Linked DNA regions of Tamandua tetradactyla. The main gene of each other region encodes a partner of the protein of the gene in region 2 in a complex. Links are inferred from orthologs where the notes say so. Each region holds a gene or a part of one and is shown on either strand. Other genes may lie near its edges. The genes, in order: MBTD1, EPC1 and ING3.

Region 1 (7,521 bases), on a different chromosome or scaffold from region 2:
AGCCTCAATAAGATTAAATGCAGATTTTTCATCAGAAACCATGGCAGCAAGGCGGCAATGGGATGACATATTTAAAGAACTGAGAGCAAAAAATTGCCAACCAAGAATTTTATATCTAATAAAACTATCTTTCAAAAATGAGGGCAAGATTAAGACATTACCAGATAAACAAAAGCTGAGGGAATGTGGCACTACTAGATCAACCCTAAAAAAAGATGCTAGAGAGGTCTGTTGGTTTAAAGGAAAGGATGGCAGACAACAGATTAAAACCACATGAAGGGGCGGGCCACAGTGGCTCAGCAGGCAGAGTTCTCGCCTGCCACACACACACACACACACACACACACAAACACAAAAACACATGAAGAAATAAAGACCTCCAGTAAGAGTAATGACATGGGCAAATATAAACGCCAGTATTATTGTATTTTTAGTTTGTAATTCTGCTTCTTACTTCTTATAGGATCTAAAAGGTAAATACATAAAATGCAACAATGAATCAGAGGTTTTGGACTTAGAATGCAATTTGTGACAAGAATTACATAAAGGTCAAAAGCTAGAGGGGCATATTTGTGTATACTAATGAAGTCAAGTTGTATCAAGGCAAACAAGATTATTATAGATTTAGGATATTAAATTTAAATCCTACAGTAAATATAAAGAAAATTCTGGAGAATATGTGAACTAATAGAGACAGAAATTAGAGTACAGGCTATCAAGGACATGAGCCAGGGGGAATGGGGAATTATTGCATAATGAATATAGGGTATCTGTTTGGGGAGATGGGAAAATTTTAGTAATGGAAGGTGGTGAGAATAACAGTATTTTTTAATGTGATTAATTCCATTAATTAGTGATATAGGAGTGGGTGAGAAGGGAATATTTATGTTGCAGATATGTTTCCACAATTAAAAAAAAAAACCAAAACAGAAATTTCAGAATGTGGAACATTCTACAAGAAAACTGGCCTGAATATTTTAAAAAATCAATGTCAGAGGCAAAAATTAAGGCTGGCTTAGGTTAAAAGAGATTTTAGAAACATAAAATATAACACAGGAACCTTATGACAACTGGAGATATGTGTAAGATTTGATAATGATATCTTGGATAAGAAGGGAAATGCCCTTGACCTTTGGCAATGCATACTGAAGAACTTAAGAATGAAGTATTCTGTTTTCTGCACCTTATTTTCACTTCAAATAAATCAGGAAATCATATACACACACATTCATACACACACCCCTCACATACATAAAGCAAATGTGTGCAAAAATGCTAAAATATCATCCAATCCAGGTAGAAAGTATTAAAGGTGTTCAATTTTGAAATTTTTCATATTATAAAGTTGTGGGAAAGAGATGGTTTACTACATACAAATAATTAAACAAGTACACAGTATCATCACTGGTTATATTTGAGTGGTGAGATCACAAAAAACTTCTTCCAAATTTCCTTCACGCTTGTTGTATCCTCGCTCTCCCAATTTTAAATTTAATCATTTCTTCCAATAACAATACTTTTAACTGTTTCAAAACAGAAACTGACTACTCAAAAACCTACAGAAAACAAAGATTTGCAACTCCAAATAAACTACTGGTTATAAAATTATATCTTGGTGAATCACATGAAAAAAGACACTTACTCTTCTTTAAGTCTCTTTTGTAACTGTTCTTTTGAAAGTCTACTTTCACTGGCATTTTTCATCATATCTTTCCGAAAACGATTGTTCATCATGTCAACCCTATAAAAAACAAGAACAGCATGCTTTAAATGTTTAAAGATTCAACACAAATAGTTGTTGCCTTTACCACTTAGATAAAACTAATTTCACAATATATATCAAGATGTATAAGATGCAGAACATATCATATGCATATTCTCCATTCTTCTTCAAACAAAAAAGAATCTCCAGTATTTCAGATCATGAGAGAGTTTATTCATGAGAGAGCTAATATCTCAAATTCAAAATCAATTATCCTGGCACAGTTTATACCATCAACCAAATTAAATTCCAGGTAATCAAGTTATATGTACAAAAAACAAATCTTAAACTGTTAAAATCTGTTTTAACAGTAAATTAGTAAAAATAGTATTAAAAAAAGATTCACAGATCAATATAAAAATTTAAATATGGAGTTTCAAAAGACATTACAAAACAAAATTAAAAGGCCAACAGGAAATTAGGAAAAAAATTTGCAATAAATTCGACACAAAAGTTTTAAAATTCACAATATGTAGGGTTCTTTTACATTAAAATAATTAAGAAAGTCTCCAATAAATAAATAAGAGATACTAAAGAACTCTTATAAAAGAAAATACCAACGACTAATAGCAAAGATGGTTTTTCAACACAAACTAGAGATTATTTCCCACCCATCAAACTGACAAAATCTGAAAAACGATAACATTATCTATGCAACAGGAGTGATGAAATGGATACCTTTTGATGGGAAAATAACTGATAGAACCTTATCATATGTAGTCTGGCCATATTTATCCAAAGCTCTAAAAGTGCTCATGCTTTCTGATCAAGGGATTCCACCTCAGAGAATCTTTTTTAAGGAAATAATCAGGAAAGTAGACAGAAATTCATGCACAAAGATGCATTAATTTATTAAAGGGAAAAATAAAAACAATCGGTCCAATAATAGCTATGTAAATTAGGATTAATTCGTACTATTGGTTATAATACAGCCCTTAAAAATGTTTATAAGGTTTTTTTTAAAAAAAAGAAAAGAAAAATAGGGAGCAAATACTTGAAATAGAGTGATAATTAGAAAAAGACAACATGCTAAACTAAATATACGGTACATTTTCATCAACAAAAGCACATATCACATGTGCTAGCTAACCTTTTAGCCTACACAGTTCCAGGCACTGTGCCAAGAGTTCTATTTGCACCATTTCATTTAATCCCTACACCCTTCTGATAGTTATTATCATCATCATTTTACAAATGAGAAAAGGTAGGTTCCAAACTTGCTGAAGGACAGTTAAGAAATGGTCAAATTCTGAAGGAGTTTAAAGTTTAAAGTAAGGGTCATGAAACAAGAAGTCTAATAATTTGAGTATGGTAGTCCAAATCACAGAAAAAAGAAACACTTCTACTCTTTGGGAGAAAGGGATAATTTTATAGCAGCTAAAGGAACCCAAGAAAGTTCAGAAGAATAAACAGAACACAAACTTCCTCATCAGCATAGAACATGCAAAAGTGATATCCTCCAATTCCACATAACTAAAGAAACTGTGTATGATCTGGAGATGAAAATATAACTTTAAAAAAACTTTCTGGGATTCCTCAGTTTGGCTTGGCAAGGCAAAGAGGTCCTAGCAGAAATAGAGTTGAGGAGCCCAGCAAAGTTCTACTGAGGAATTTCAGCCAGTGGAGTTAATAGTGAAAGTACAACTTGCAATGTGATTTCGAACATCTCTTAGGGCATGAGAAGGCAGCAGTTTGAACAAGCAAGTCAGGTAAGTGCATGATTCTATTTCACAAGGCAGAGTTTCCATAGGCAGTAATTACTGCTACTCTCTTGTTCTAGAAAAACAATAGTAGGTCACTTCACAGTATATCAATTAAAGCCCCACTTGTTTCAAAGCAAGTCCAATTTTGCTGAAGTTGTAACTCAGAAATTAAAAATTAACAAATGATTATGATTACTGAATCATTCTATAGATGTTTTTTCTTTCTATATTGTAGACTAACCTAATGTCAATACCTGAAATTACTGAAACTCTTAGCCCAGTGTATACTTCCTATTACAGTGGTCATTCTACCCTAGCCTCAGCTCTGTTTACACATGTTATTTTAATGGTAACAACACCATCTCCCTTGTTTGAATCCATAAAAAACCCAAACTCCTTAAATTCAGGGAGACAGATTTTGAGCCTACAGGCCATGTGATCTGCTTCCCGCTTAGCAATAAACTCTCTCTTTGAAATTCCAAAAGAAAAAAAAAAGGCCAAATTAGGAAGAAACTTAGGTCTGAGTTCTTCAAACACACTGCTCTCATTGTTATTCTCTACAACGAAGGAAAAAAAGAGAGGGAGAGAAGTATGCCAAAATGTTAACAGTGGTTCTCAGCTTTTCTTTTCCATAATTTCCTACACTTTTCAAATTTTCAATCACATTTTCATAAGAATGTTTAAAACCTGCAAAAGAACTTTTCAAGTGTCAAGAAGAATTCTGGAGAAAAAGTTAAGCAACTCACATTTCCTCATCTTCATCTTCCTCATCCACCCAAACTGGCTTCTTTTGAGGTGGAAAAGTATCCTTTGAGTCATTCTCCACTTCTGAATCATCAGAGTCTTCATGCACATGAATCTAGAAAATACAAAATGTCCTCACAATGAGTTTTTCACACATCTTGTAGTCAGGTGGTTTGAAGAATGCAGTCCTCTGATGAAATAATGGGATGGAATGCCACCAGCATGCTACAGAGCAGAAAATGAAAAGACCAGTAAATGGCACTGCAGCCTGGACAGACAAGGAAAGATGGAACTTAGAGAAAATTAACATGCTAAAAGAAAAAGACCAAGTAAGACAACAACAAAAGGTAAGACAGACGAGGAAAGGCACAGGAAAAATTCCAGAACTACAGAAAATGACAAATCTAGAGTCAAAAATAACATAATTGTCATATTTCTTATCTCATACTCTTAGAACTATTCCTTCACTTCTCTTAACTCTTTTTGAGCTTTACTCAAGAAACCACTATGAAATCTAAACGAAGATCACAGAATATCTCTTGGAATAAGCTCAGCCTTCCTGAAACTGCATGGTAGAAATGCCCAAGGGATTTCTAGTTACTCTATTTACAGATATACGCAAAGCCCAACAAATCCCATCTCCTACAAGAAGTCTCGACAAGTCCACTTCAGGTATATTTATTCCTTTTCTTCACTGACTATCGAAGTGTCATACAGTCTGTTTTAAGATTAGACATCAGCAATTTCTCCCATAGCACCCAAAGGCTTTGGAAATCAGATCGAACTTGACCCTTGTTAGGTCCGCATTAATTTAGCAAATAAATTGCGTAATTCTCGGTGAAGCTTTTCGGGGCGACCCTTTCTAAACTCTCACTGGCCTCCTCCATACCACTAATCACCCTTCCCAGAAAGCTTTTTTTTTTTTTTTTAACAATCTCTCCAGCCCTTGTTACTAACATATTTGAGCTCTTCTTATTTTATTGTCCGTCTCTGCCTTTGGTTTATAAGCTCCAAGAAAATTTTATCAATGTCATTCATTATGTGAACAATGCCTGGAACTCCCAAACTTGGGAGGAAAGCCATATAATAAAAGGAATGTTTAAAAAGTGTAAAAACGTATAGGCAATTACGAAGGGTTTGCCATTGCCAGAAGAGTATCTGGCACTCAACAAGCTGGCAAATGTGTTGAATCAACGATTACACAATGGTTAGAAAAGCTGGTATACAAGAGACTGTTAAAATACATTTTCCCAGGCCCGCGCCCAGGAATTCTGATTCCACAAATAAAATGGAACTCCGCAACCTACATCAACAAACACGGTAGACGACTGAGGAAAGTGATCAAGCATCCACGCTGGAAAGGACAGCTAAGCTGAGCCGCGATAAGATGCTCAGAACTAACTACAAGTTGAGCACCTGCTGCATACCAGGCTCAGTGGCTCCCCTGGAGGCGGAGAGAGGTGCGGTCTCCGCCCTCCGAAGACTTCGTCGGGCTCCAAGAGGCGGGGGACGCACAGCGGCACCCCCTCGGCGCCCACGTTCTCAGGCTCCCTCCCACCTGAGCGCTCCTCGCCGCCTCAGGTCACCCAGACTCCGCCCCCGGAGTCTAGCAATTCGCGCGCCCCGCCCGAGCGCACCCAGCCCGCGCGCCGAGGCCTCCCTTACCCGCGGGCCCCGCAGGCGCCGCAGTAGCGCGTGCTCGTCGTCCTCGACATCGCCGAAAACCAACTCCTCCAAGCACCGCTCCACCGCGGGTTTGTCCTCCTCCAGCGCCAGACGGTTCTGCTGCCGGAGCCGCCTCTCCTCCTCCGCCGTGACTGCGATCGCAGCGGTCGCCGCGCTTAGCCGGGCAGCGGATTTCCGCTGGGATGAAAGGGCAGGTTTTCGAGCTGGGCCGGCCGGCCTCGCTCCGCTTCTTCGGTCCGGCTTCATTCGAGTCCTTGAAGCTGGCATCCCTCCGGTTCTGCGCTTGGGTTTCATTCGGTTCCCTCGCTGCGGCGGCATCTTTAGGTTTGAGAAGAAACGTAGGGGCTCACGTGGAACCTTACAGCGCATGTGCCCAGATGCCTCACTTTCCACCGCCACTAGAGAGGCGGGAGGGGCCGGAAGGAGCCTGTGCAGCCTCTTAGCACGTGACCCAACACTCGGTCCCTACTTAACGCCCACTCTTCTAGGGAGCCCCTCCCCACGTGGGAGTTCCTCCGGGAGAGCCAATCTTCTGGGTGAAGGGGGAAGCGGCGTGACAGGGATGGAAAATTTTTCCATGTCAGCTTCGCAGTTGCAACATAGTCAAAGGAGTACAAAAAGCCAAAGTATAAACCAAGGTGATGGAATGAAATTTCTACTCTTCTGCTTTTTAACCCGTCGACTTAATCCACGTCCTGATTACCTTCTCCACCCCTGCGTCTTGGTACGACCCATAGAGTACGGAGCCTGTAGAGGGTCCCACGCTGGAAGAGAGAGAGAGGAGGGTATGTAGGGAAGTGGGCCAATCGGGGCGCAGGTCACGGCGCAAGCGCGCTGGGGAGGGAGGGCTATGCTAATGTTGTTGATATCCTGGGGCCACCCTAGTTAAAGGGGGGAAATCCGGGGGCTGCCACAGCCGCCGCCAGTCTGGGCCCAGCCGTGGGCCCCTTGTAGTCGCCACCGTCCCGCGGAGAGGCGCCTACCCCCGGCTCGGGGAGGGGGCGCCGCGGGTCCGGGGAGCACGGACATCCCCTACCCATGAGGCCCTGATGGAAAACACAAAGGATCTGGTGAGAACTGAGCGCGGCAGCCGCTTTGTGTGCAAAGTGTGTGCAAGGTGGGGGGACGCCTACAGCTCCCCGACCTCAGGGACTCCTACAGCTCCCTGGCCCCACTCCCAGGCCTGTCTCTTTATCCCACGCCCCCTCTACCTCTGGAGTCCCCCTCCCCCTACCGGCCGTTAAACGATTCAGGGTCTCCCCTCCCCCCATTCCCCTAGCCCCGGCCTCCCTGGGGTTCTCCTTACCCCTCTTCCACGCTCTGGAAAAAACATTGAGAAGAAAGTTTTTCTCTGCGTCTTGAGCCCCCTGCCCCCGCTCTGGAAGAGGAGTGGGGTGGGTAGCTGGATCTGGGACTCTTCTCTTTTTTAGCTTCTCAGAGTGGGAGACTGGAAGTCCACTTGGCTTCCGAGGGGACATAGTGTTGGTGCTTGGCGGGGAAAGGCGCCTACCCGCTTTGGGGCCAGTGCCGCAAGGCATTTCGCACGTGGAGGTGGAAATACTGAAAGGGGGCGGGGTGGGCACGTGTGGGAGGAAGGGAAGGAAGTGGTGTTTGGGAAGCGGCCGC
Region 2 (7,583 bases):
AACAAAATAAAGTAATAATTACTAGGGATATTTCACGACAATTCTACAGATGCATTTTGTTCCTGAAATGCTTTATTAATGAAGCAGAGTACAAGAAATTGTCCTAATCCATATCGGCCCCATCTTTCATGACCAACATAGGATTATTTACTTTTTCTAAATTAGTCAATTCAGGCTCTAGGTCACTCAGACCCAAGAGACAGCATCCCTAATGTGTCAAAGGCAGACGTTTGTTTTAACCTTCTTCTTTGTAAGAAATAAAAGATGCTTCAACAAATTATCAAAAGTTCTTGTTTTTACAAGATTAACTCAGAATTCAGTTACCTTTATTTATGCTTAGCTTACACATCCAATATTGTAACCATGCTAGTTTCAATACCACTATTTATATGTTCTACCACCAGCATGAACCACAGGTTTGTAGAGCAGCTTGTTTGTTTACCTGGTACTTTTTACATCCCCGTTAAGTTCGGTATCTACTCTTAAGCTATGCTTCACTGATCATACACATAGCATTCGGTAGATGAGAACTGAAATTCTAAACAGATGATGTTAAAGGCAGTCTAAAGGAAAAAAAAATCCCTATGTCCCTCCACAGGGACTCCACATGCTGTAATGCTGCAATCTAATGAGATCCATTCACATTATCAAATGTCAAAATAATTTCAGTGAACAAAAATTATCTGTAAATTTAATAAGCATTGATGCCTCAGTTAAGCGTAGCTCTAACTTTAGGTGGTAGCTCTTGGGACTGTTCAAAGTATTCATAGAAGCAAAGACTTAAACTGTACTGTAGTGTTACCTTCCTTTAATCAAGGCTCTCCCCTTGGCTGTAAACAAGAATTACAAATTAATTTCCAAGGTAGTGTAACACCAAAACCCCAACTTGAAAAGTATTATCTGCAAAACTTATAAACAGAAACAAAAATAAAACCAAAAGACAAGATTCTGCAGTCACAAGTATTTTAATTTTTAAAAACAAATCACTTGTTTAAAAATAAACAAATGGTACCATTCTACTCTAAAGTTGATACAAGTAATAAATTAAGAGATGCTGTCTCATAGACAAGGTGCTAAAAGTCAGTACTACACTAGACAATCAACTACTACATGCACTTAGCTTATCTGTAAAATAAGATTTAACACACTACTCTTAAAAGTAACATTCGCTGTCACAACTATTGTACGTTGAAAGGTTAAACGACCCAAACAAGTTTAAACAGTTTTATTTTCAAAAACATTACAGAGTATGATTACTACATTCAAAATTCTTACAGTACCAAAGAGAAGCATTACAGTACAATTTTCCACAACAAAATTGTAGCATATCCACGCGATTCCTCGACTTCCTTGAACTGTCAATACACTGCACCCTGTTTTAATGGCTGTACCTGAAAACCAAGGTATGCAATTCCTTAGGATTAGACGTTATCAAGTTATACTGTCAAGGATCTGGGGGAAATGAGAGGAAGATTCTATTATCCTTGTGTCTGAACCCAACTTCCACAATAAGGTGAAGCCACAGCTATAACAAAATGTCTATTAGCTGTAAACAAACATTTACATTCTGAAACCCACCCGATTTAGATATTTCAATGTTAAGACTATGACTTCATTAAACTTTAGTTTAACTATGGATAAGAAAATGACCCTCTTCCTAAATTTAGATCTATCTAATTGGGTCTTTTCTCCCCCCACGTTGTGAGATCAGAAAGCATAAAAACTTAAATTTTACAGAAAAAAAAATACATTAAAGTTATAGGCTTTAAATAAGAGCCACGTATTCCAAACGTATCTGCAACATGTTCTCAAGGATCAAAGAAAAAATCAGAGATAGTAGTTGATCATCCTCCGACTAACTAACATTGGGAGGGAAGGGATGGATGCAAAAGTCCCAGAAAGAGAATACTGCGAATAATTCTAATCTATGAAAGTCGTCAGGGCAAACACGCAGTAAGCTCGACACTCCGTTGCAGGGAGGGGGAGAAATAAGCCTCAGAGACCAGGCCCCCTCCGAGACTCCGTGTGGGGCTGGTTCCAGCCGAGCAAGCTTTCCCGGCGCCGGGGAAGCCGAACCGCCCCATTGCATAGACCAGCGTTCCCCAGCGCCAGCAGCGACGCGGAGGCCGAGGTGACCCTGGAGCGCCACCCAGCGGCCCGCGGAAAGGCCTGCAGGCAGGTCGTCCTGCTCCGCGCCGGGCCCGCCGCACCCCGCCGCCCAGCCCGCTCCCCTCTCCGGATGCACAAGGCCCAGCCCAAGAACTAAAGACCACAAAATGGCTGCCGGCGGCTTCGTCACGTGACCCCTTTGTGCCTTTCGGGCCCCCGAACTCCGCGGGACCCGGGTACCAGTGGCCGGGGTCGACGGGTGGCCTCAGAGGAGGCCCTACCAGGCCGCGGCGGCCGGGGTCGAGGCTGGGGAGGGCGGGGTAAAGACCCGGCCGGCAACTGAGAGTCGGCGGGGAAGAGAAGATGGCGGCCATTTTGTGTGGGAATGCTGCTCCGTCGCCGCCGCAGGCAGCACAGGGAGCGGGGCCTGGCGGTGGGTCGGACAGGGGAGTTAACACGTACCGACTCCTCTTCCTTCTCCATTCCGGTGGGCATCTGCGGCACGGCCCGGTTTATCGAGGCGTATTCGTGCAGGTCTGGCAGATCCTCACAGCGGAAAACCGGCAGCGGCTTCGAGGCGTCTAGCGCCCGCGCCCGAAACGACAGTTTACTCATCTCAGGCGCAGCAGATACCTCTCCGCTCTGGGGAAACGGCCCCGGCCAGCGGGATCATGGAGAACCGGGGGTTCGGTCCCCACTCGCCTACCGCTGCCGGGGACTTGAGGGACGGAGCGCAGAGCCCGCTGTCCGGGCACTAACACCAGCCGGGAGGGTGGGAGTCTGTGCCGCTCCGCTCCTCTCTCGCTCGCTCTCTTCAATACGCCATGGCCAACATGGCGGACATTAAAACTCCACTGTGCGCTCTTCAGCCAACCCCAGCCATTCCCCACACTGCATCGCGCAGCGGCGCGGGCACGCGGGCGGGGGGGGGGGAGCGCGGGCTCGAGGCCGGCGCCGGCACGGAGCGCGCGTCCCGTCAACCCCCGGCTCCCGCGGGCCTCGCTCCCCGCGCCTCGCTGCTCAGGCCCCCGCCCGCCGCCGGTCGGGCGCGACCAGGGCCGGGCGGCCAGCTGGGCCAGGCGCTCAGGCGCCGGGAGCCGGCTTCTTGGGCTTCCTCTCCTCTTCGCGCACGCGCTCACTTTCTCACGCTCGCTCCCTCTGACCGCTCTCTTCTGAGAGGCGAAGGAAGGTGCAGGAAAACTATTTCCACTCGCCCTCGGGCTTCTCGAAAGGCAGTGCGGAGAGAGTCGCGGGGCGGCGGCCTTGGCCGGGCTCGCTCCCTGCGGCTCGGTCCGAGGGCTCGGGCACCTGCCATCCCGGCCGGCGCGAGGGGCGGGGGCGACGCCCAGGCTGCCAACGCCACCTGCGGCAGGACCAGGGACAGGCGTTCCCGAGGTGGTGCGCACCGGTGGCCAATTCGTGGGCGAACGCATAGCCTAGTTACCGCGGCAAAAATACAAACGAAATTAGGGGCAGAATGTGACTCGAGTGAACTTTTACCCGCATTTTTTTTTTTTTTTACGTCTAATGAACTTGGGTTCTGTCATTTGATAGGCGCCTCATCAATTCATAGGTCAGTTTCCCTCCCGCTGGTTTCCTACTCCAAAGTATTTTTTTAAGCCTACATTTTATCTTCCCATATTAACTCTTTTATTGTAATTGGAGCAAAGAAAGGAAACTGGATACTGTAACCTTACGAAGAAAAAAAATTAAAGCAAGATCTTCTTCAGAGTTTAACAGCCTATACTTTATACTCAGCTTGTGATTTTTGTACTGAAAAGAAAAGGCGACTTCAGCATAGCCATGGGTTCTTTATCATTTGTTCAATAAAAAAAATTATATATTTATAAAACTGAACCATATAGGCTGCCAGGCGCCTGCCAACAACACCCCATGAGCGCGCGCGCGCGCACGGGAAACGAATTATTAGAAGAGATTTAGATAGATGTAATACATTGCTGACATTTGGTTTATATTACACAGGAAAATGAATGTCCAGAGAACTCTCTCCAGAGTAGTATTTTAAAAATCGTTAAGATTATTTGGGTGGCTTTAATGAGGTGGCAACAAAATTTCACATCTTTTCAAAAGATAACGAAAGTATTTTGTAAGTCTGTCCCTCACAGGGAGAGGATAGGGCTACATAATAAAAATAACCAGTGTTCTTAAATATTGGGTTGGGTATGAACTATTATTAGCTTAGGGCACTTAAGCAAACTGTTATCTTCCAGGTTGGTTTAACTATACTCAATGGGGTGGGGAAAAGACAAGGAGAGGCATAGATTGTAGTTCTCCAAAATTATGCTAAAACTCTGTGAGGCAGAGGGACTTTCACCCACATTTTCTATACCAAGACTGCATTTATTCATCCAAAGAGCAAACCTTGAGCCCTTGCTCTCTTCCAGTTGTGCTGCTGATTGCTCAGCACCCAGAGGGCTCCAGGAGGAAGGACCTGTGAATCACAACTGCCACACTTAGCGGTAAGTTGCTATGATGAAATCCAGGCTAGTGAGAACAAGCAGGAATGGCACCCAACCCATGGATAGTGGCTATAATGAAAGCAGTCAGGGAAGGCTTCTTGGAGATGATGCAAAAAACAACAAAACACACAACCAACGAACCAAACAAACAAACAAAAAACTAGAAGGAAGCACTTGCAAAGGCTTATGCCTGAGACACTCAGCATGTCACATTCTGGGAACTTCAAAGAACTGCCAATTCCACTGTGGAGCATGACTCCTATTTAGCCAGATTTAACAGTTCTGAAAATACTGGCTGAAATGAGTATAACAGTTCTTTCCATCTAGCCTAGAATATGAGATTCCCCGAATCCCAGTAGTTAAATTTGTGACTGAGGAACCTAAGACTTTATAGAACAAAATAGGGTCTTAAGTTATGAGTGAACCAAGGAAACACATCTTACCTTCATTAAAAATAACAGCTTATGCATAACATTTTCCTCATACTACATTAGTAACAAAATCATTGTACAGGTAAGTTTTCTAAGAAACTCTAGCGTTGCTCTCCATGACAGGTTTTTGGAGATGCTTACACATTTTTCAGCTTGCTTTTTTTGCAACTAATATGCTAGAGACATCTTTTTTTCTGCATTGATTCTCCATCCAGGTCCTCAATGTCCTGAATTTCTACCTCCCAGTTCCTACTGGGTTCTTAACGACCCAGAAGCTGAAGTCCCAAGCCTCTCATATATTTGGTTCACTTCCCTCCCTCTTTAGAGTCAGGTGTGCAGAAGGGAAAATACAGATTTAATTTTCCTCAGCTTCCTTTAACCCACCAAAAGATTCTTTGCAAAATACCTACTCCTGCAATTTCTTTTACTTTAACTTTCTCTTCTACTCTCAACTTCTTTTTCTAAACATCAACAAAAGTGATATGAAATTCTCAACATTGCAAGAAAAATTCTCAACATGATGCAAGAAACGTATACTAGTATAAAGCTGAATAACATTTCCTCAATGGGAAACTCTTTGTTGGAAAGGTGTTTGCAGTTAGTTAAAACACCCTTCATTCATGCCACAAATACTTATTGGATAACTAGGCAATACACGGTACCTCACTGTAAGGGATACAAATAAGATACTGGCCAAGGGATAACCAGTTAACCAAATGACCAGTACTAGGTGGTATAGTGAAATGTAGTGAGTGCTATGGGAGTTTAGAAAAGGGTAGAAGGGCATTCACAGGAGGAAGCAATTAAATGAACAAAAGTTGGGGTTGGGAAGGGCAACTGTTAGGTGTGTTTGAGGATGAGGGGGTTTATTTTGGCCAGCATTCAGTAGAGAACTCCTACAACAATCAAAGTATTATGCAAAACTGGTAAGAACGTGAGTGGAGGGAGTAGGAGTAGAAAGTAAAGAGGCCTAAGTTTTAGTGGTAAGAATTACAATATCATCACCCTGAAAGGTGATTTGTTTTGAATGCAGAATTACTGCTTTTAAAAAAATCAAACACTTCAAAGAGAGAACGTTTCAAATACAACTGCTCTGACACTGCATTTTGCATTCTATAATAAACCTGAAATAAGGCTCTGAATATTAGCTTACATCCAGTATATCCCCTAGTCCATACTTTCTTCTTTGAAAATAGAAGATTTGCCTCTATTCCCATTTCCACTGTCTCAGACATGGTTCAAGCTTTCATCACATCACATGTAGAAACAATCTTCAATCCAATCCACCTTTTATTCATTCATTCCCTCAATCAGCCTTTATTCCCTATATTGTCAAAATTGCTGGTAATCTCCCAATAGTGACTAGTGGTAGTGGCTGGTAGAGGCGTGGGCCCCTGGGGAGTTAGTCATGAAACTCTGCCCTCCAGGGTTTCATGGTGCAGTGTCTGCCACCAAACCACAACTACTCTTTATTTTGTTCGTTAAATAAAGTAATTCTTTGGTAGGTTGTTAAGACCTCCCATAATTTTGCCTTCTCTATCCAACATCAGACCTCTAAGACAAATTCTTCATCCTGGCTTCTGACACTGTCTTTAGAACTCATCACATGTTTCTGCCTCTGATTTTTCACTCTTTTCTCTCTGTCTTCCTTCTCCCCCTTCAGACTAACCATCTACTAGCCACCGAAGTCCTACTTCACAGAATGTCTCAGGGTTGAATAAAATCCATGTAAATCATTCAAATTGTCACTTGGCCACTGCGAACCCTTGACAGATGTCACTATTTTTAATTATTCTTCAAAATCCAACTCAAATATCATCTCCTCCATGAAGCTTTCTTTAGCTATTCAACATCTCTGGGCCCTAACTTCCTAGTTTCAAGAATAAGGAAACTTAGGTGAACTAAAAATAATTCTTCTTAAGCCTATGCCCATCTTTCTCATCTCCGAACTCCTATTATACTTTGGATCATTAAGAATAATAACTACCATTGATTGAGCCTTTGCTATACACCAGCAGTATGGAAGTGCTTTCAATGTATTCTCTCATTTAATTTTCATGAGAGCTCTATGAGGTGTGTCCTGTAGAGAGATATTCACCTTAGAGAGGTGATATGACCTGCCTGTGGTTGCAAAGCCAATGAGAGGTGATACTGAGATTTGAATCTCTGGCTGTCTGATTCCAGAATGGGGCCAAAGATACTAGGTTAAAATTAATTAAGTGAATGCAAAGTGAGAAAAGAGAGATGTTCAAGGTAGACTACTCTTTCATGCAGCTTGGCAATGAAGGGAAGGAGAGACACAAAGCTATTCAGGCCAAGGGTTTTATTGCTTTTGAAGATGAAAGAGATGTGTGCATATTTGTATACTAAAAGGAAAGACATAGGAAAGGAATAACTTTAGTCATATCTTCTGAGGCAAGAAGAAAGGAGGGCAATAGTGGATGATATCAAAGAAGTTACAGTTCTCTTTGATGGGACAATAAGATAAAAAATCATAATACCAGTTTTAGTAATAGAAGTCTAGACTCTTCATTCCTTCAAGCATTCAACAAATATTTACTCT
Region 3 (8,040 bases), about 57 Mb from region 2:
ATCAAAAAATTTTCCCTACTGGCAACGGCAACTTATTTATTCTTATTGTCATTTCAAAACCTTTTCCATTAGTCCAAGTAGTGTCAACAACACAAGTGGGGTCTATAGAGTTTTTGAATTGTACAGCTTTGGGGTCAAAAGATAATGCTAACAAATTGGTCATATATGCTCAAACACAATCACTTATTGAAAGTACTACTGGATAATCATGCTTTTTAATAAGAAAAAGTGATTTTAAAAATCTTAACCTCCTGTTATACGCCATAAGCATCTTATCATCTTTTATCAGAATTTAAAGTAGTAGACACAATCATTTATCCACTTACTGCACTATATGATTTATTCTACACCTGCTTTTCTCAAAATGTGCCCCAGTAATAATCTCATTCGACATTTGTTAAAAAAGGAAAAATAAATAAATAAAAGGGAGTCAGGCTCATGTAAGTTGAATATATCCTTTTTATTATATACTTTTTGGAGATTTTCAGTGCATAACAGCTTTTTAAACATCCTGAGGTCCTACAATTTTTTTTTTTAATTTCCCTTTGTTTAAATAAGCATTTTCTAAATTTATTCAACTCAAGTGCCTCTTTTGTTAATTCATAACAACTGTAACTTCAGAAAACTCTATTGTAAAAAATACAAGTTTAAAAGAACTATAATTTGAATAATACTAAGTCCAAATTATAAGAGAATTTTAAATTTGTAAGAACCAAAAATTATAAAATGATGGCTACCCTTTTGTCTATCTCTTATCAGATACTATACTTTGCAATTTATTTTAAATATTTTTAATCTTCAGGTCACTCCTATTTTACAGATGATGAAAAACCCTCAGAAATGGTAATAATGGTCAAGGTCAGTGAGGAAGTTTATGAAGCCTTGAAATTAACTCAGAACTGTATGAAGTCAAAATGTGTGCTGAATCCTAAAGAAAACAATAACAAATCCTTGGTACTTCAACTATATTAAAGATGAAATGAATTTTGTGAGTAAACTGGAAAACTAACATGCAATTCACACTTTCACAGTACAATCCACTGAATAAAAAGAGAACGTGGCTTTCCTCCCCTGTTGGTTTTCTAAGATGTCCTTAATTAAACTAATGAGGCTGAGAAATTATATTCACAAACAGTGAAACAGTGGGTATGGAAGTGCGTATGTGTGGTGATAGGGCAGAAAAGTGGGGTGTGTGTGTGGGGGGGCGGGTAATGAATCTTCTTAGCTACCCAAGACCCCACACTCTTGGATGGCTGGTGCTCTGATTTCTTTACATGATACTACTTTTGTCTCTACCTCAAAGTTCAAGTCTTTCTCCACCCCTACTTTTACAAGAAGAAAACATGGCAGCACCAGAAACATTTTTTGTACAACCTGAAGATCAACAAACATAACTTCTGGGCCCATTTTACATGATGACCAGCTATAAATATTATTTAAATGATTTAATTAAGGTACTCCTTAATTAAACACTTCTCCAAACAAAGGAAGTGACATATAGCCAACAAGGTTCTATTGATCACACATTTTAATTATGCATTATATAATTTTCACATTTTTAATTAATTAATGTTAACATAGTATCTCTAGGAGATAACTGAAACAGTTATCACATATTTATCTTCCAATTATGAAAGGTTTGTGAGGTTCTTTCAGAGCATGATGGACATAAATGTGATACCCAGCACTATGTTCTTGTTTTGAAATATAATTCTGTGCTGAGTATTTATCTTCTTAGCTACCTTTTTCGAATCATGGACCCTTTCAAGAAACTTCCCATATAAATAAAATACAACTTAAAAATTGCAGTGTATTCCAGAACACCCTGAAGTCCCTTTTCAAACTCTCTAGTCCCTGAGTCTCCTAACTATAACCTCTGCTCTTGAAACAGTAAGGTAATTTTGGAAAAAAGTCACCCAACTCCCTAGCTATCACTGAAAATGTCTTTGGGTCACAAGCAAAAACCCGCCAACTACCAAAATGTTATTAAAGCAGACACGATGCTTTACAATAAATTCTTATTTCCTCAGTCAATATGAGGCTGTTGACAATAGAAAATGTATCTCATAATTCGTAATACTTCCAAATTTGGCATTTCCAGTTCACCAGGGTTTCTAAAGACCTACATACTACATGTCCTTTGTGCTTTCCACTCGATAATTTTAAATCGAATTAAGTCTAACAGAAATACAGATGTTGAAATCTAAGTTCCACAATAGAAAAGCTCAAGTTAAAATCTTCTAAATATGTATGCTGATGTAAATTCCATTAAAATATATATTTACAGTCTCAAAGAAATGAAGGTTTAGGAACTTTTTTTGCATAGTCCCAAATTCGAAAAAGGCATATACACCTTCCCTCATGCACCCTCTTGTAAAAGCTACGGAAAAGGTGCGTGGGATGGAACGGTAAGATTTCTCATTGTCCTTTATTTTTGATAACTCCTTATGCACTACCAGAGTGAGGCGTAGGACGGTCAAATATCAGGAGCCACTAGCGGCGACAGCAGGCATGTCCGGCACTGAACGCGTGTAACCAACAAGAGCAAACACCACGACTTACTCTGCACCTGCAGGTCCATCTCGCGCATCTCCGTGAAGCGGTCCCGCAGGTCCATTGGAAGCTGCTCAATCACTGTCAAAGAGAAGAGTCCGTCAGAGGGGCGGGGCCAACGAGGAAACACGCGCTTACGTCAGTGCGTGCGTGCGTGCGTCGGGGGGGGTCGAGGGAGCCGGCAGCCCACTGCGAGGCTGCCAGTTACCGTGAGAAAGAAACATCCCCCGCCTCCCCCTCCCTCCCGCCATCCCGCCTGCCCGTCCACTCGCGCTCTCACCCGCCCGCAGCTCCCACAGGCAGCCCCGCCAGCGCCGCGCACTCACTCTCCAGATAGTCCTCTAGGTACAACATCGCGGCCCTTAGAGCTGGGGAAACGAGTGGGTCCAAGGGTTTATTTGTGTCACTCGTTGTCGCCGGAGTTTTGTCCCTTTCAATATGGCGCCTCCGCTAGCAGCACCCGCTCGGCTCCAGGAAAAAAAAAAAAAAAAAAAACACACTTTGGCGCCTGACGGCGCTGGCCTCACTGCCGCCCGGAGCTGTCATTGGTTGGTTCAAGCAATGACGTTATCCGACCGGTACCCGCCCCCATGCCTTTGTGGGAAGTATAGTTTTTTTCCCTTCGGAGGAATAATTGACACGCGGGCAATTCTACAGGTGGAAACTACAAAAACCAGGCGCCATTGCGCACTGTGCGCAACAGAATCTGAAATGCGGTTCTTCTGTTTATTTGTTGATTTTTGCGCTGGGAATGACGGGAGTTGTATGCTCCTGCACAACATAACTAGGGATAACTTTTCACCTGTTCGTTACTGCTATGATTTCATGTCCCGGCGTTTATGAGTCATGAATTTCAAGTAGTGTTAAGGCCAATAGCGGAGGTTCTAATCCTAGAATAACCAGAAAAGTGCGAGCAATTTCGATTGTTTAAAACAGAACTCTGCTGGAATTAAATCGTAGTGTTAACTTCTAGAAATATAAATAGGACACCTGGGTGGCTTCTATGTCTATTCTATGAGAATATGGAATGGAATATGCATTTCCTGGCTAAAAGATACACAAGTACCCAGAAGCCTCTTATAATTAAATATTCTGTTTTGCGGGTTGTTTCGTCCTCGTTCTGACGTAATTGATCATCTGTACATTTACCTGCAGCCACACCTAACAGCATAAAAGCAGTCAGAAATAACTGCTGGAGCCTTACTATCTAATGGACTGTGGTAACAATCACTTTAGATTGTGATTATATTGGACATTTGTTGTCCTGGGCGTTGCCTTTTTCTACCCTTTGACTCCTTTCCCCAAATGTTCATAAGTGATAATATTCAGTTATTCATTGCTCATTTTCTTCCTCTTTTTAAAAATTCTAGCACTCAAATGTTAGGTATTATTGTTTTCTACCTATTTCTTTAACTCTGTCGGGAAATTATCTTTAGTTCATAATCTAATGTTCTATTTTATTTTTTTCAGATTGGAGTTAAAAGTCTCTCTGTGTGTGTGTACATTGTACTATTGTACTCAAAATTTATCACATCTTTTGATCAGGATACTTCTCTATGGTAGTGCTGAATCTTAAAGGAACTTTACCTAAATCCTAATAAGAATTATCTGTCATCTCTACTTGTATTAAAATTTGGTATCTTCAGTTTTCTTTTTTTTTTTTCTGACTGTTTTTAAGACCTTCTGTATGTCTTTAATATTTTTGCAGTTTGATAATGATTACCCTTGGTTCGGATTTTTTTCTTTTCTTCTTCTTTCCCTTTATTCCTCCCTCCCTCCCATCCATCCTTTCTTTCTATATTCCTTTCTTCCCTCTCTCCTTCCCATCTTTCTTCCCTCCCTCCCTTTCTTTCTTACATTTTTAGTTTTATTTGTTAATCATGCTTGAGATTTGAAGGGATTCCTGAATCTTAAGATTGTTGTCCTGCAACAAGTCTAGAAAGTTCTCAGCTGCTATCGCCTTAATGTTGTTTATCTCCCGTGTTCTCCATTATCTCCTAGAACTTCAATTATATATCTATAAGACTTTTTTAGTATCCTCCCTTTCTCCTAACCTTTCTTTCAAATACTCCATCTCAAAACTTTCACCTACTTTTCCATGTGAGAAATTCTATTTGATTCTCTTATCAATCTATTTTCTTCTTTCCTTATACAGATTAAAAATAATTAGTCTATGTTCTGTGTCTTTTAAATTCAGTGCTGAAAATATTATGGGTCTTCTTGTGTTATCGTTTCTTCTGGCTTTTGCTTATGGTAACTTTTTTTTTTTTATCAGTTCTTAATTTGAAGTCTAAACTCATGTTTCTTGGGTTGTAAAAATAATGATTCCTTGAGGGCAGAGTCAAAGATAGGTTTTCCTAGAAAATATTAGAATTTCTGTACATTTTTTTTTGAAGGCGCTATCAACCCTAGGGCCAGATAAAACTCAGTACTTGATGTATATTCTATTGCACAGATAGATTGAATGTGGATTTGACATGTTACAGATTCTCAGGGAATACTTCTCTTCCTTTACTGAGTCCCAGAGTCAGGATAGGCATGTTTCCTTAGTGACTGCTTCTAAGCATCAGATTTATTTCTCACTCACACTTACACTGGGAGTGTAGGCCTTTAGAGCCCCAGATTTTGTCTCCCATTAGAGTTCACCGTTTGTACAGGACTTTGGCTTTATCTCTTGACCACACATGCTGCACAGCTATCAAAGCAGGAGCCCTAGGTGTCCACAATTTGACAGATACTCTCTGAGCATAAGACTGCTTTGGCCCTCACTTTTCTCTCAGCATATTCTCATTTTCCTTTCTCTTTTTTCCCCCTTTAGATCCCCTCTGAGATTGCTTTCATTTCCTACCAGTTCATCAGTATGTTTGATTTTTTTTTTTAAACCTAACATTGTTAGTTGTTTTCAGCAGGAGGGTGGGGTTCGTTCAGAGTAGCTAAAATGGCATGCTCTCAGAAATAGAAGACTCATTTCCGTGAAAAACTAATTCTTCAGGGAGTTTTCCATATTGAAAATGAAATAATAAATTTCAGTTATTTGAAGTCAGTCTTCTGAATTTTCAATTCTAACTTCTCAATTCGGTCAGCATACCTGCACACACCAGAGAAACCAAAAATAGTAAAATTTACACTCTATATATTTTAGTTAATGAACTTAATTCTTGAAATAGGAACATTTGTCAGCAGCAGAAAATTGTGGTAGCTTCTTATATCATTAGATAATATAGTATATAATACTTGGAGTGGTTACCAACTTACAGCCTTTACTATGTTTCTAGGAAGTACCACATACACAGGAATGGTTACCAGTGACCATATTATATCTTATTAGTTTACCTGGGATAGGCTAAAGCTGAGCCTAGGAGATACACCCTTCTGGGGTTTGAAATTGGGGCTGAAGAGGCGCAGAGACATTGTGGCAGAAACGCACTAATTGCAGCGCCGTAGATACATGGTCCTTCTGCTGAGATCCCCAGAGCTGCTCTTGTGTTTTTTCCCTGAATTTTCACCCACTTCTTTAGAGTTTGGAGTTTGTTACTAGCAATGAAAAGAATGTTAACTACAGATCTGCATGTCATAGTAAAAAAAAAAATTATGGAATTTTAGTCATTAATCATTTAGCCTATTTTCATTATACATTATGAACTCCAGAACTGTGGGTTTTTAAAAATTATTTTTATGCTGTGACTCAGCAGCTGTCTTTTCTCCCCCAACTTTATGGTTGACCAATTTTTAAGCATATTTGAGAAACAGGCAGGATAGTTGCAGGGTTTGAATACAGGCAGTGTTAAACTGCACGAGTTCACTTCCCTATTCTAACACTGGTTGTTGATCTTGAAAAGGTTATTTTAACTCTCCATGCCATCGTTTCTCAACTGGGTAATGGAAATAGCAATGGTAGCTAAATCTTAGGAGTGTAAGTTTGAAACGATATAATCTATGCAAAGTACTTAGTTTAATGCAGGGTGCATATTATAATTCAACGAATGCCAGTTGCTATCATTATCTTTATTAATATTATGAGGTCCCCTCCTATGTTTACACATATTGCAGCAGCTCTTTTGTGCCTCAGCATATTTTGAGGCTGGACAACATTTAGAACTTCAGGCTTGTCAAACAAACCTCTTGCTATGATTCTGCTGCGGCCATACTAAATTCAAGGGAAAAGTGATGCAGAGAAGGTTTTAAGAGTAACAAATTACACTGATGATTATAGCTAATTAGAAAAAATTAGAACATGGAGAAAAGATTCAAGACTGGATGCAAAATATGACTGTCCTAGAGAAACAGAAACATGATTCTTCATATAGGATTCCCTCAGAGGGACCCAGACTTAATAACTTGAGGCTCTGCTACTTCCTGATTTTACAAAAAAAGCCACCATCTTGAAATCTTCCTAGTAAAGCTTTGAAATGAAATGTTTTCTTACCTTTGCACCAGACAGTGTGTCCTCCCTGACAGACATCTGTACTTTTGAAAGGAAGCAGAATAAAGTGTTGTTTTAGTAAAAGCCGTTGCCACTCACTAGATCAATTGTAAGCAACAAGGTTGGATAATAGCCTTCAGTAAGTGACTACAGATGTTTCCAAGACTTCTCCTTCCAATGGCCAACTAAAAAGACTTGGCAATGCAATTCCTCCCCTAAAGGAAGATTCTGTTTTCCTGACCTGATTTGTGGGTGTTTTTGATGGAGAACCTGGAAAATGAGGAGAAAGAGAAAGAAGATAAGTGACTAATGAAGGAGAGTTAGGAGTGTATTACTCTTCTGTCTGCTAAAACAAATACCATACAATGGATTGGCTTAAACAGAGGGAATTTATTGGCTCATGGATTTGAGGCTAGTTTTCTCCCCCAGACTGTGACATTCTATGGCTGGTTGCTGGCAATTCTTTTCTGTCACATGGTAGTATGCATGTCAACATCTTCTTTCTCTTTTGGGTTTCATTAACTTCCAGCTTCTGGCTGCACATTGTAGCTTCTCTCTTTCTGTTCCCAATTTCCTTTGCTTATAAGGACTTCAACTATATCGGGTTAAGGCCCACCCTGATCATTCAGTTTGGTCACACATGAACTAATAACATCTAAAGGTTCATATCCACAGGCTTGGAATCTGAACATACTTTTATAGGAGACATGTTTCAATTCCCAACAGGGAGATTTTGCAGATGTGATTGCATTGTGTGGGTTCAATGTGTGTAAGAGGAAAGATCTTGAAAAGGATAACTGATTCTTGAATCTAAGGTGTCACAAAAGCACCCCTCAAAACAAATAGGAATTTTCAATTAAATATAAGAAAAAAACCTTGAAACCAAGAAGTTAAAATCCTCAGTTCCAGGAATGAAGAATAAACTCAAAGTTGGAATAATGAACCAGAGCTGAAGTAGAGAGTTCTTGGCCTTAATTGTTTGTCTGAGGGTTCTAAATATGGTATAGGGAAAATATTGCAAGTCTCAGTACATACACGGTGCTAAAGTGAACTATCATGCATAA

The links.
Region 1: EPC1 (region 2) and MBTD1 share a complex: the UniProt entries of both Homo sapiens proteins name them as parts of the nuA4 histone acetyltransferase complex. The link is inferred for Tamandua tetradactyla from reciprocal best matches to the Homo sapiens genes EPC1 and MBTD1.
Region 3: EPC1 (region 2) and ING3 share a complex: the UniProt entries of both Homo sapiens proteins name them as parts of the nuA4 histone acetyltransferase complex. The link is inferred for Tamandua tetradactyla from reciprocal best matches to the Homo sapiens genes EPC1 and ING3.

Annotation. Positions count from the first base shown.
Region 1 is NC_135332.1:32,355,547-32,363,067, reverse strand, and holds the start of MBTD1 (MBT domain-containing protein 1), read left to right. Parts: upstream 1-4,422; 5' UTR 4,423-4,448; coding exon 4,449-4,556; intron 4,557-5,874; coding exon of another isoform or gene 5,875-6,264; exon of another isoform or gene 6,265-6,680; intron 6,681-6,706; exon of another isoform or gene 6,707-6,944; coding exon of another isoform or gene 6,945-6,965; intron 6,966-7,160; exon of another isoform or gene 7,161-7,413; intron 7,414-7,521. Other genes in the region: UTP18 (U3 small nucleolar RNA-associated protein 18 homolog), read right to left, coding at 1,643-1,741, 4,212-4,324, 5,875-6,264. UniProt on the Homo sapiens protein: Chromatin reader component of the NuA4 histone acetyltransferase complex, a multiprotein complex involved in transcriptional activation of select genes principally by acetylation of nucleosomal histones H4 and H2A.
Region 2 is NC_135327.1:218,877,384-218,884,966, reverse strand, and holds the start of EPC1 (enhancer of polycomb homolog 1), read right to left. Parts: upstream 3,025-7,583; 5' UTR 2,725-3,024; coding exon 2,572-2,724; intron 2,169-2,571; exon of another isoform or gene 1-2,168. UniProt on the Homo sapiens protein: Component of the NuA4 histone acetyltransferase (HAT) complex, a multiprotein complex involved in transcriptional activation of select genes principally by acetylation of nucleosomal histones H4 and H2A.
Region 3 is NC_135327.1:161,383,880-161,391,919, reverse strand, and holds the start of ING3 (inhibitor of growth protein 3), read right to left. Parts: upstream 3,058-8,040; 5' UTR 2,908-3,057; coding exon 2,880-2,907; exon of another isoform or gene 2,834-2,879; intron 2,635-2,833; coding exon 2,563-2,634; intron 1-2,562. UniProt on the Homo sapiens protein: Component of the NuA4 histone acetyltransferase (HAT) complex which is involved in transcriptional activation of select genes principally by acetylation of nucleosomal histones H4 and H2A.